2 linked regions of the Callithrix jacchus genome follow. The protein of the gene in region 1 interacts with the protein of each later gene in a biochemical or structural test. Links are inferred from orthologs where the notes say so. Each region holds a gene or a part of one and is shown in the gene's direction. Other genes may lie near its edges. The genes, in order: SERPINF2 and ELANE.

What was found.
Region 2: of the proteins of SERPINF2 (region 1) and ELANE, one has a biochemical effect on the other in vitro, tested with the Homo sapiens proteins (2 studies listed by BioGRID). The link is inferred for Callithrix jacchus from reciprocal best matches to the Homo sapiens genes SERPINF2 and ELANE.

The regions. Positions count from the first base shown.
Region 1 is NC_133506.1:66,499,014-66,503,430, reverse strand, and holds the start of SERPINF2 (alpha-2-antiplasmin), read left to right. Parts: upstream 1-1,502; 5' UTR 1,503-1,540; intron 1,541-1,652; exon of another isoform or gene 1,653-1,754; intron 1,755-2,662; 5' UTR 2,663-2,780; intron 2,781-3,321; 5' UTR 3,322-3,325; coding exon 3,326-3,370; intron 3,371-3,485; coding exon 3,486-3,524; intron 3,525-3,637; coding exon 3,638-3,700; intron 3,701-3,981; coding exon 3,982-4,183; intron 4,184-4,417.
Region 2 is NC_133523.1:797,003-801,233, forward strand, and holds the start of ELANE (neutrophil elastase), read left to right. Parts: upstream 1-1,426; 5' UTR 1,427-1,451; coding exon 1,452-1,518; intron 1,519-1,913; coding exon 1,914-2,070; intron 2,071-2,301; coding exon 2,302-2,443; intron 2,444-4,231. UniProt on the Homo sapiens protein: Serine protease that modifies the functions of natural killer cells, monocytes and granulocytes. Inhibits C5a-dependent neutrophil enzyme release and chemotaxis. Promotes cleavage of GSDMB, thereby inhibiting pyroptosis. Promotes blood coagulation.

The DNA.
Region 1 (4,417 bases):
GGTCTGGCCATGGTGGGACCAGGAGGGGAAGGAGGAAAGAGAAGGTGCCCTCTGCCAGCGGCCCTTTGCCTCCAGGAGTGAGCCCATGCCTCGCCTCTCACCCCTAACCACAGTGTTTGTGCCTTGAGCTGAGGAGGCAGCCTTTGGGCCCTGAAATCCTGCTGGGCTTCATGACCCTGAGGGGAGGGGTGAGAAGAACCATCTCTGTGCCTCAGCCTCACATTCGAGAATGGAGCTGAAGCCTGGGATGGCACCTGCTGCCTCCTCACAATTTGCAATAGATGTAAATATGACCAATAAATCCTCTGGAAGGGCCATGGGATGAACTGTGGCTTGTCTTGTGTGTTTTTCCAAGAGTTGCAGCCTCACCGTCCCATCCCGGGTCTGTAAGGTATGTGGCCCAAGCTGGCCTCCAACTCCTGGGCTCAATCGACCCTCCCGTTTTGGCCTCCCAAACTTAGGATTACAGGTGTGAGCCACCATGCCCAGCCTGAGGCTTATCTCGATGGTGGGCAAGGGGAGACCTGGCAGTTTCCAGGGCAGTTAAGAGCCGCCCATGGGGGTGGGAGGCAGCCTGATCGGCATGGGCTGCAAGCCTTCTGGTTCATGCAGCCTACTCAGGTGTGTTTCCAGGACCCTCACTCTGGGTTAGGGGAAAGAGACACTGCTGTGGGGAGGCAGGACACAGAGAGGTGACCCCTCCCATCTCTCCTCCCTCACCCCTGCCTTCCAGGCTTGGTCTGAAGGCAGCCAACTTGGATCTGGGCTTGTAAGGTGGAGTGGGCGTTCCATTCCAGGTCTATAAGGTGAGGTGGGTGTCCCATCCTGGGTCCATAAGGTGAGGTGGGCGTCCCATCCTGGGTCTGTAAGGTGGGGGTGGGCATTCTATCCCGGGTCTGTAAGGTGGGGGTGGGCGTCCCATCCCGGATCTGTAAGAAGAGGTGGGCGTCCCATCCTGGGTCTGTAAGGTGAGGGTGGGTGTCCCATCCCACGTCCGTAAGGTGAGGTGGGCATCCCATCCCGGATCTGTAAGGTGGGCGTCCCATCCCGGGTCCATAAGGTCAGGTGGGCATCCCATCCCGGGTCTGTAAGGTGGGCATCTCATCCTGGGTCTGTAAGGTGGGCATCCCATCCCAAGTCTGTAAGGTGAGGGTGGGCGTCCCATCCCGGGTCTGTAAGGTGGGGGTGGGCATTCTATCCCGGGTCTGTAAGGTGGGGGTGGGTGGACACCCAGGTCCAGCCTCTTCATCTCTCTCCTCCTGAACCTCTTTCCAGGCTCAGGTGGGACCCAAATCCATGGGGTCCTGCCTCAGGATCACACGCCTGGGGGAAAGGGGCTTCAGGCTTCAAGATCAATGTTTAACCGGATGTGCCAGTCAATGTTTACCAGAAGAGAAAGCACTCTCCACGGGGTTGGCTGAGAGTAAAGGTCCCGGTGGGCGGAGGGGTGGGCCGGGCCGGCCGGAGCCTGTGCAGAGGGTGGGGAGCACCCAAGTGGGGCCAGAGGAACTTCGAGTGCAGCAGCAAGGAGCCGGCAGAGGTACGGGGGAGGTGGGTGGCTCGGCCTGCTCCCTGGGCGGCAGAGGAGGCAGGGAGCTGTCTTCCCCACTGAGGGGTCTGGGCTGGATTGATTCCGGCCTGTCACTCCCCAGCCTCCTCTGGCAGTGCGGAGCCAAGGCGGGGGCTCCGGGAGAAGTACCTCTGGGACCCAAAACACTGGAGCCTGTTCTTGGCAAGAAGATTCAAACGCCCAGGTCCGAGATGGTGCCTGGTCAGAGCGCTTGTGTGCAATAGGGGTGGGGCCAGGGGCCACAGAAGGACCCTCGGAAGGATTGGCCCTGAGATGGGGTTGGGGGGAGGCTGTAACACCTGCTCTGGCTTGTCCTCCTGAGACCCACCCCTGCCCTTCCCAGAGCCAGCATGGTCAGGGTCACGGTCTGTGATTCTCCTAAGTCCACAGGCGGCTCTGGCCGGAGTCATTCACTGGGCTCTGCTGCTGGGTCAGAAGGCAGCTCTCCAGTCGCCTCGCCAGCCCTGCTGAGACCTCAGGGCCTCAGAAATATGTCCAGCCTTGTAGGCAAGACCTGATGGGCCTGAAAAGACTGGCTCAGAGGACACAGCAGGTTGGGCGGGAGCTCTGGGGTGGAGGCTTTAGGGCAGGCTTCCCGGAAGAGGCGGCCTTGAGCCAAGCCGAACCCAGCCATCGGTGAGTGCCAAGCATTGTGCTCACAGTTTACAAAGACAGCCTTATTTTATCTTCCTTTTTTGAGACAGAGTCTCACTCTGTCATCCAGGCTGGAGTGCAGTGGCGTGATCTCGGCTCACTGCAACCTCCACCTCCCAGGTTCAAGCGATTCTCCTGCCTCAGCTTCCCGAGTAGCTGGGATTACAGGCTTATGCCACCACGCCCAGCTAATTTTTGTATTTTTAGTAGAGATGGGGTTTCTCCATGTTGGCCAGGCTGGTCTCGAACACCTGACCTCAGGTGATCCATCTGCCTCAGCCTCCCAAAGTGGTGGGATGACAGGCGTGAGCCACCGTGCCCGGCCACACAGACGGCCTTGTTTTGGTCCTCACCGAGCATGCGAGAGGACTGAGGGACTCAGGCCACCATTTTATTTTTATTTTTATTTATTCTATTTTATTTTTTTTTTTGAGACAGAGTTTCGCTGTTGTTACCCAGACTGGAGTGAATGGCGTGATCTCGGCTCACCACAAACTCCACCTCCTGGGTTCAAGCAATTCTCCTGCCTCAGCATCCTGAGTAGCTGGCACTACAGGTGCGTACCACCATGCCCAGCTAATTTTTGTATTTTTAGTAGAGACGGGGTTTCGCCTTGTTGACCAGGATGGTCTCAATCTCTTGGCCTCGTGATCCACCCGCCTCGGCCTCCCAAAGTGCTGGGATTATAGGCATGAGCCACCTCGCCTGGCCTTCAGGCCACCATTTTAAAGGTAACGCCAAGCCTGGTGGGGTTACAGGGAGTGCCGAGGTCCTTTGCAAGAGGCAGTCTGGATTGAGATGCAAGTCTGCTCAGTGCAGGGCCTGGAAGGAGGGGAACGTTTTTGTTTTGCTATTTCCCTCCTATTAACCAAAACACTTTTAGTGCACGGAATGTGAAAGACCAGAAACTAAGGGGGAAGGAGCTGGGAGGGCTGTCCTGCCCCACAGGAGGGGAGCCGCTGCATGAGTGCTGTTCTCACTCTGGAACCTGCTTCTTCCCCTGGGCGCTGGTGACTCGGTGTCTGTGAGCGTGTGGGTAGGAGTCCCTGGCGGGCGTGGGGACAGAGATGGTAACATACCTTCTGTCCCTGCCACAGGAACATGGTGCTGCTCTGGGGGCTCCTGCTGCTCAGCTCCTGCTCCATGGTGAGGCTGGGCTGACGTCCAGGTGGGGCGGGCGGAGGGGGAGAAGAGGGGCACTTGTGTGGAGGGAGGGCTTGGCTTCCAGGGGGCCCTCCTAGCCTCACCCCTTTTTCTACAGTTCTCCCCTGTGAGCGCCATGGAGCCCGTGGGCCAGCAGGTACTGGGAAGCGAGGAGCCCTAACGGGGAAGGCCCTGGGGTCTCACCAGTGGCCTGGGCAGGGTGGGGCCTTGTGGGAGGGTCACACTCCAGCTGCTTCCTCCGTTCTGCAGCTAACTATGGGGCCAACCCAGAAGAAGGTGCTCCCGCTTACCTTCCTCAAGCTGGACAACCAGGTAACCAGGTGGGGCTGGGGAAGAGTGGGCGGGGCTAGCGGAAGGCAGCCGCAGCAGCAGGGCGGCGGGCGTACCAAGGCCAAGGCTCTGGAATCTGGAGGCCAGGAGGGACAGAGGGTGGGGAGGACCATAGGTGGGCGCCAGGCCCCAGAATGCCAGTGCCCTCCGTCAGACACCCCCTCTCCCCTTGGGCTGTGACCAGGCCCTACTGTCCTCAGGACCTGCAACACAGAACCTGGAGCTGACCCCTTGATCTCTCTGCCCCCCATCTGTCCCCGCAGGAGCCTGGTGGCCGGACTGCCCCTAAGAGTCCCCCAAGAGACTGCAGCGGAGAACCCACCCCACAGCAGACCCACAGTCTGGCCCAGGCCATGATGGCCTTCACTGCTGACCTGTTTTCCCTGGTGGCTGAAACCTCCACCAGCCCCAACCTCATCCTGTCACCCCTCAGTGTGGCCCTGGCGCTGTCTCACCTGGCACTAGGTACCCTGGAACCACTTGTCCAGACAAAGAGAGATGGGAGGCCAGTAGGAACATGGTACTCCAGGGGTTCTCCAAGGGTACCTCCTCCACCAGGCTGCTGGGTTAAAAACTGCAGATTCCCAGGCTCCCACCCGTCGGTCTGTGTGCATCAGATCTCAGGGACTGGGCAGGGGAATCTGCTTATTTACAAGTCTTCCAGGTGATTTGTTTGTTAGTTTGTCTGAGCAGAGTCTC
Region 2 (4,231 bases), on another chromosome or scaffold:
GAGGGTCCACTTGCCTGTGGCCACACGTCAAGACGCCAGCCCGGCCCAGGCCCTGCATGTCCCCGGGTGCCCCCGCCCCGCCCGTTCCCGGAGACAGGACCCGTTGGTTCCCTTCCCCACCCCTTGTCCCGGAGCCAGGAGAACGTTGGTTCTTACGACAGGCTTGGTGGGGCGGGTGATGGGAAGAGGAACCGGGGCTGGAGCCTGGGAATCCCATCCCCGCAGCCAGGGCTCCGGGCGGAAGCCCCCAGGCTTGGGTAACCGACCTCGTCCCAGCCTCTGGGCCTCTCACCAGCACCCCTGCCAGGTGGCCACCCACCCAGCCCCTGGCTCAGGCGGGGAGGGCACGGGGAAGCTCAGCGGGGCAGAAGGGTGGGTGACAGTGTCACAGCCCCGGCTGGTGTCCGAGGACTGACCGTGAGCCTCGGTGACAGTGAGTTCCCGTTGTCAGCAACAGCCGGGGTGGGCGAGAGGGAGAGGCCAGGCCTGGGGGTGAGCCCTGAGGTTCAGGGAGCAAGGCTGGAGGGAGCCCCCAAATCCCCATCCAGCTGTGGGTCCAGAGCCCTGGGCTGAACTCGTGGCTCTGCCCGTGGGGAAGGCCTGGGTTTCCTCATCCCAAACGGGAGCCCTGGGAAAGGTCAGGGGAGTGCCTGCTGCGGTGTGAGTGCCCGACACGGCCGCACGTGGCTGTTACCCCGGTGCCCGGGGTAAACTGAGGCAGGCGAGGGCAACCCCTGTCGAGGCCCCTCAGGACTAGTTTTGGCAGATTTGGCAAAAACACAGCAATGCTCAGTTAACTTGGAATTTCCAGTAAGTATATCCTGGGCATCGTTTGAGACAGATTCAGATTTTAAAAAAACGTGGAGACCAGCGCGGCCAACACGGTGAAACCCCATTTCTACTGAAAATACAAAAAAATTAGCCAGCCTCGGTGGCTCACACCCGTAATCCCAGCACTTTGGGGGGGCTGAAGTGGGTGGATCCCCTAAGGTCAGGAGTTCGAGACCAGCCTGATCAACATGGTGAAACACTGTCTCTCCCAGCTAATTGTAAAAAGGCAAAAATTAGCTGGGCGGGATGGTGGGCACCTGTAATCTCAGCTACTCAGGAGGTTGAGGCAGGAGAACTGCTTGAACCCGGGAGGTGGAGGTTGCGGTGAGCCGAGATTGTGCCCCCTGCACTCCAGCCTGGGCGACAGAGCGAGGCTCGGTCTCCAAATAAATAAAACCATGTTGATGATCTGACATTCGAATGCAATTGTGAGTCCCCTCCGGAGCCAACCCCAGCCTCTTGTCCCCCTTTGCCCCCCTTTTCACCAACCCCCTGTGCCAGGGGAGAGGAAGTAGGGGGTGCCAGCCGGCTGTGGGGCAATGCAACGGACTCCCGGCACAGAGCTATAAGAGAAGCCGGGCTGTCAAGGACGGGCAGAGACCCCGGAGCCCCAGCCCACCATGACCCTCGGCCGCCGACCCTCCTGCCTCTTTTTTGCCCGAGTCCTGCTGGCCTTGCTGCTGGGGGGTGAGTCTGCGTGTCCATCCTCCCGCTGCACCGTCTGTCCTGGGTGTCCGCTCCCACATCTCCACACGGACCCCACATCCTCATGGGGGAGGTGCCAGCTGGGACGAGGAGACCAGGAGAAGGCAAAGACACACCAGGAGCCCAGAGCTGGGGGTTTGCAAACCTGAGGGTCACTGGGCACCCTTTGGGTTCAAGTCCAGATTCAGCTGTGCCTTGGCAGGGGGACCATGGGCAGCTCCCGTTGCCGCTCTGTGCCTCAGTTTCCCCATCTGAACATCAGGCGTGTGAACAGCCCTGATCCCATGGGTTCCTGGTGGGGGACTCAGGGGCCCCATGGCCGGGAATGAAGGGGCACCTTGGCTGGCACTGAGCACCCGCACCCTGTGTGTCCCCAGGCCCCGCGCTGGCCTCAGAGATTGTGGGGGGCCGGCCGGCCCGGCCACACGCCTGGCCCTTCATGGTGTCCCTGCAGCGGCGCGGAGGCCACTTCTGCGGGGCCACCCTGATCGCGCCCAACTTCGTCATGTCCGCCGCGCACTGTGTGAACGACGTGTGAGTACCCGGGAGCGCACCTGCCTGGCTGGGACCCCCCACGTCCCAGTGTGTGGGATGGGTGGGGGCGAGGCCGGGGCCCCGGGACTGCTGGGAGGCCTATCCTGGGCCTGCAGGGACCCCATGAGCCCCTTCCCCATAGGGCCCATCGCGGGCTGGGGATGACAAGGCGAGGCTGAGCCCTGACCCCCCCAGGGCACCCCCCCACCTCTGCCTCTCCCTCCCCTGCAGAAACTTCCGCTTGGTGCAGGTGGTGCTGGGTGCCCACAACCTGAGGCGGCGGGAGCCGACCCGCCAGACCTTCTCCGTGCAGCGCGTCTTCGAGAACGGCTTCGACCCCACGAGGCTGCTCAACGACATCGTGCTTCTCCAGGTGCCGCTGGATGGGGTGGAGAAGGGATGCCCGGGGTGGGGGCACCGGGGTGGAGGCCAGAGCCTGGAGAGGGTGGAGGCAGAGACAGAGACAGAGGGGCCTGTCAGGGGCCGCTTGTGGGGACCTGGCGTGGAATCTGGGCTGTCCTGGACGAGGTCCTCCCCTCTCTGTGCCTCAGTCTTCATTCTGTGAAATGGGGAAGTACCCGCCAGGGGCTGTCCAGGGATTAGATGAGAAAGAGCAGGGAAGCATAGATCTGCTGTCAATCAACAAACTTACTGTGACTCCTGTTGTCTCTCCATTCACCGGCCCTGTGGCCGAGGGCAGGGGCCGTCTCTGTCTTTGGGAAATGGGGCAGAAGCCCCCACCTTTCCATCTCTGTCCCGGCTCACAGTTATGACCCCCGGAGAGGCTCAGAAGGAGAGTCTGATTGTCACCGCCCGCTGCGGCCTCCACCTCCTGGGCTCAAACGATCCTCTCACCTTGGCCTCTAGGGTAGCTGCACCCACAGGTGCGTGCCACCACTTCCGGCTGATTTTTTTTTTTTTTTGAGACAGAGTTTCCCTCTTGTTACCCGGGCTGGAGTGCAATGGCGCGATCTCGGCTCACCGCAACCTCCGCCTCCTGGGTTCAGGCAATTCTCCTGCCTCAGCCTCCCGAGTAGCTGGGATTACAGGCACGCACCACCATGCCCAGCTAATATTTTGTATTTTTAGTAGAGACGGGGTTTCACCATGTTGACCAGGATGGTCTCGATCTCTTGACCTCATGATCCACCCGCCTCGGCCTCCCAAAGTGCTGGGATTACAGGCGTGAGCCACCACTCCCGGCCCTGATTTATTTTTTTGAGGTGGAGTGTTACCCTGTTGCCCCGGCTGGAATACAGCAGTGGGATCTCAGCTCACTGCAGCCTCCACCTCCCGGGTTCGAGCAGCTCTCCTGCCTCTGCCTCCCAGGTAGCTCAGATTACAGGTGCCTGGCTAATTTTTGGAATTTTTAATAGAGATGGCGGTTTCACCATGTTGGTTGGGCTGGTCTTGAACTCTTGATCTCCGGTGATCCGCTCCCCTTGGCCTCCAAAGTGCCGGGATCACAGGCATGAGCCACTTCCTGGTCACGTGGCTAATTTTTTTTTTTTTTTTTCCCTTTGAGAGGGAGTCTCACTCTGTCACTCAGGCTGGAGTGCAGCGGCTCAGTCTCAGCTCACTGCGACCCCCACCTCCCGGGTTCAAACTATTCTCCTGCCTCAGCCTCCCCAGTAGCTGGGATTACAGGCATCCACCACCACACCCGGCTAATTTTTGTATTTTTAGTAGAGACGGGGTTTCACCGTGTTGGCCGGGCTGGTCTCGAACTCCTGACCTCAACTGGTCCTCCCACCTTGGCTTCTCAAAGTACTGGGATTACGGCCATGAGCCACCGCCCCCGGCATTTCATTTTTATTTTGTAGACATGGGGTTTTGCCACGTGGCCCAGGCTGGTATTGAACCCCGGGCCTCAAGTGATCCTCCTGCCTCGGCCTCCTAAAGTGCTGGGTTGACAAGCGTGAGCCGCCGCGCCCGGCCATAGTTTTTTTTTATTATTAATTGAGCGCCTACTGTTTCCTGCACTCAAGCTACAACCAGGGACAACCTCCAACACTGAGCCTTGGTAGCTGCTCCCACTCTGTAGATGGGGAAACTGAGGCTCGGGTTGGGGAGCACATTGAAGGGTGGGTGTCCTGCTCTGCAGGATCCCAGAACCACAGCGGAGTCTGAGATGGGGAAACTGAGGCTCGGAATGGGGAAA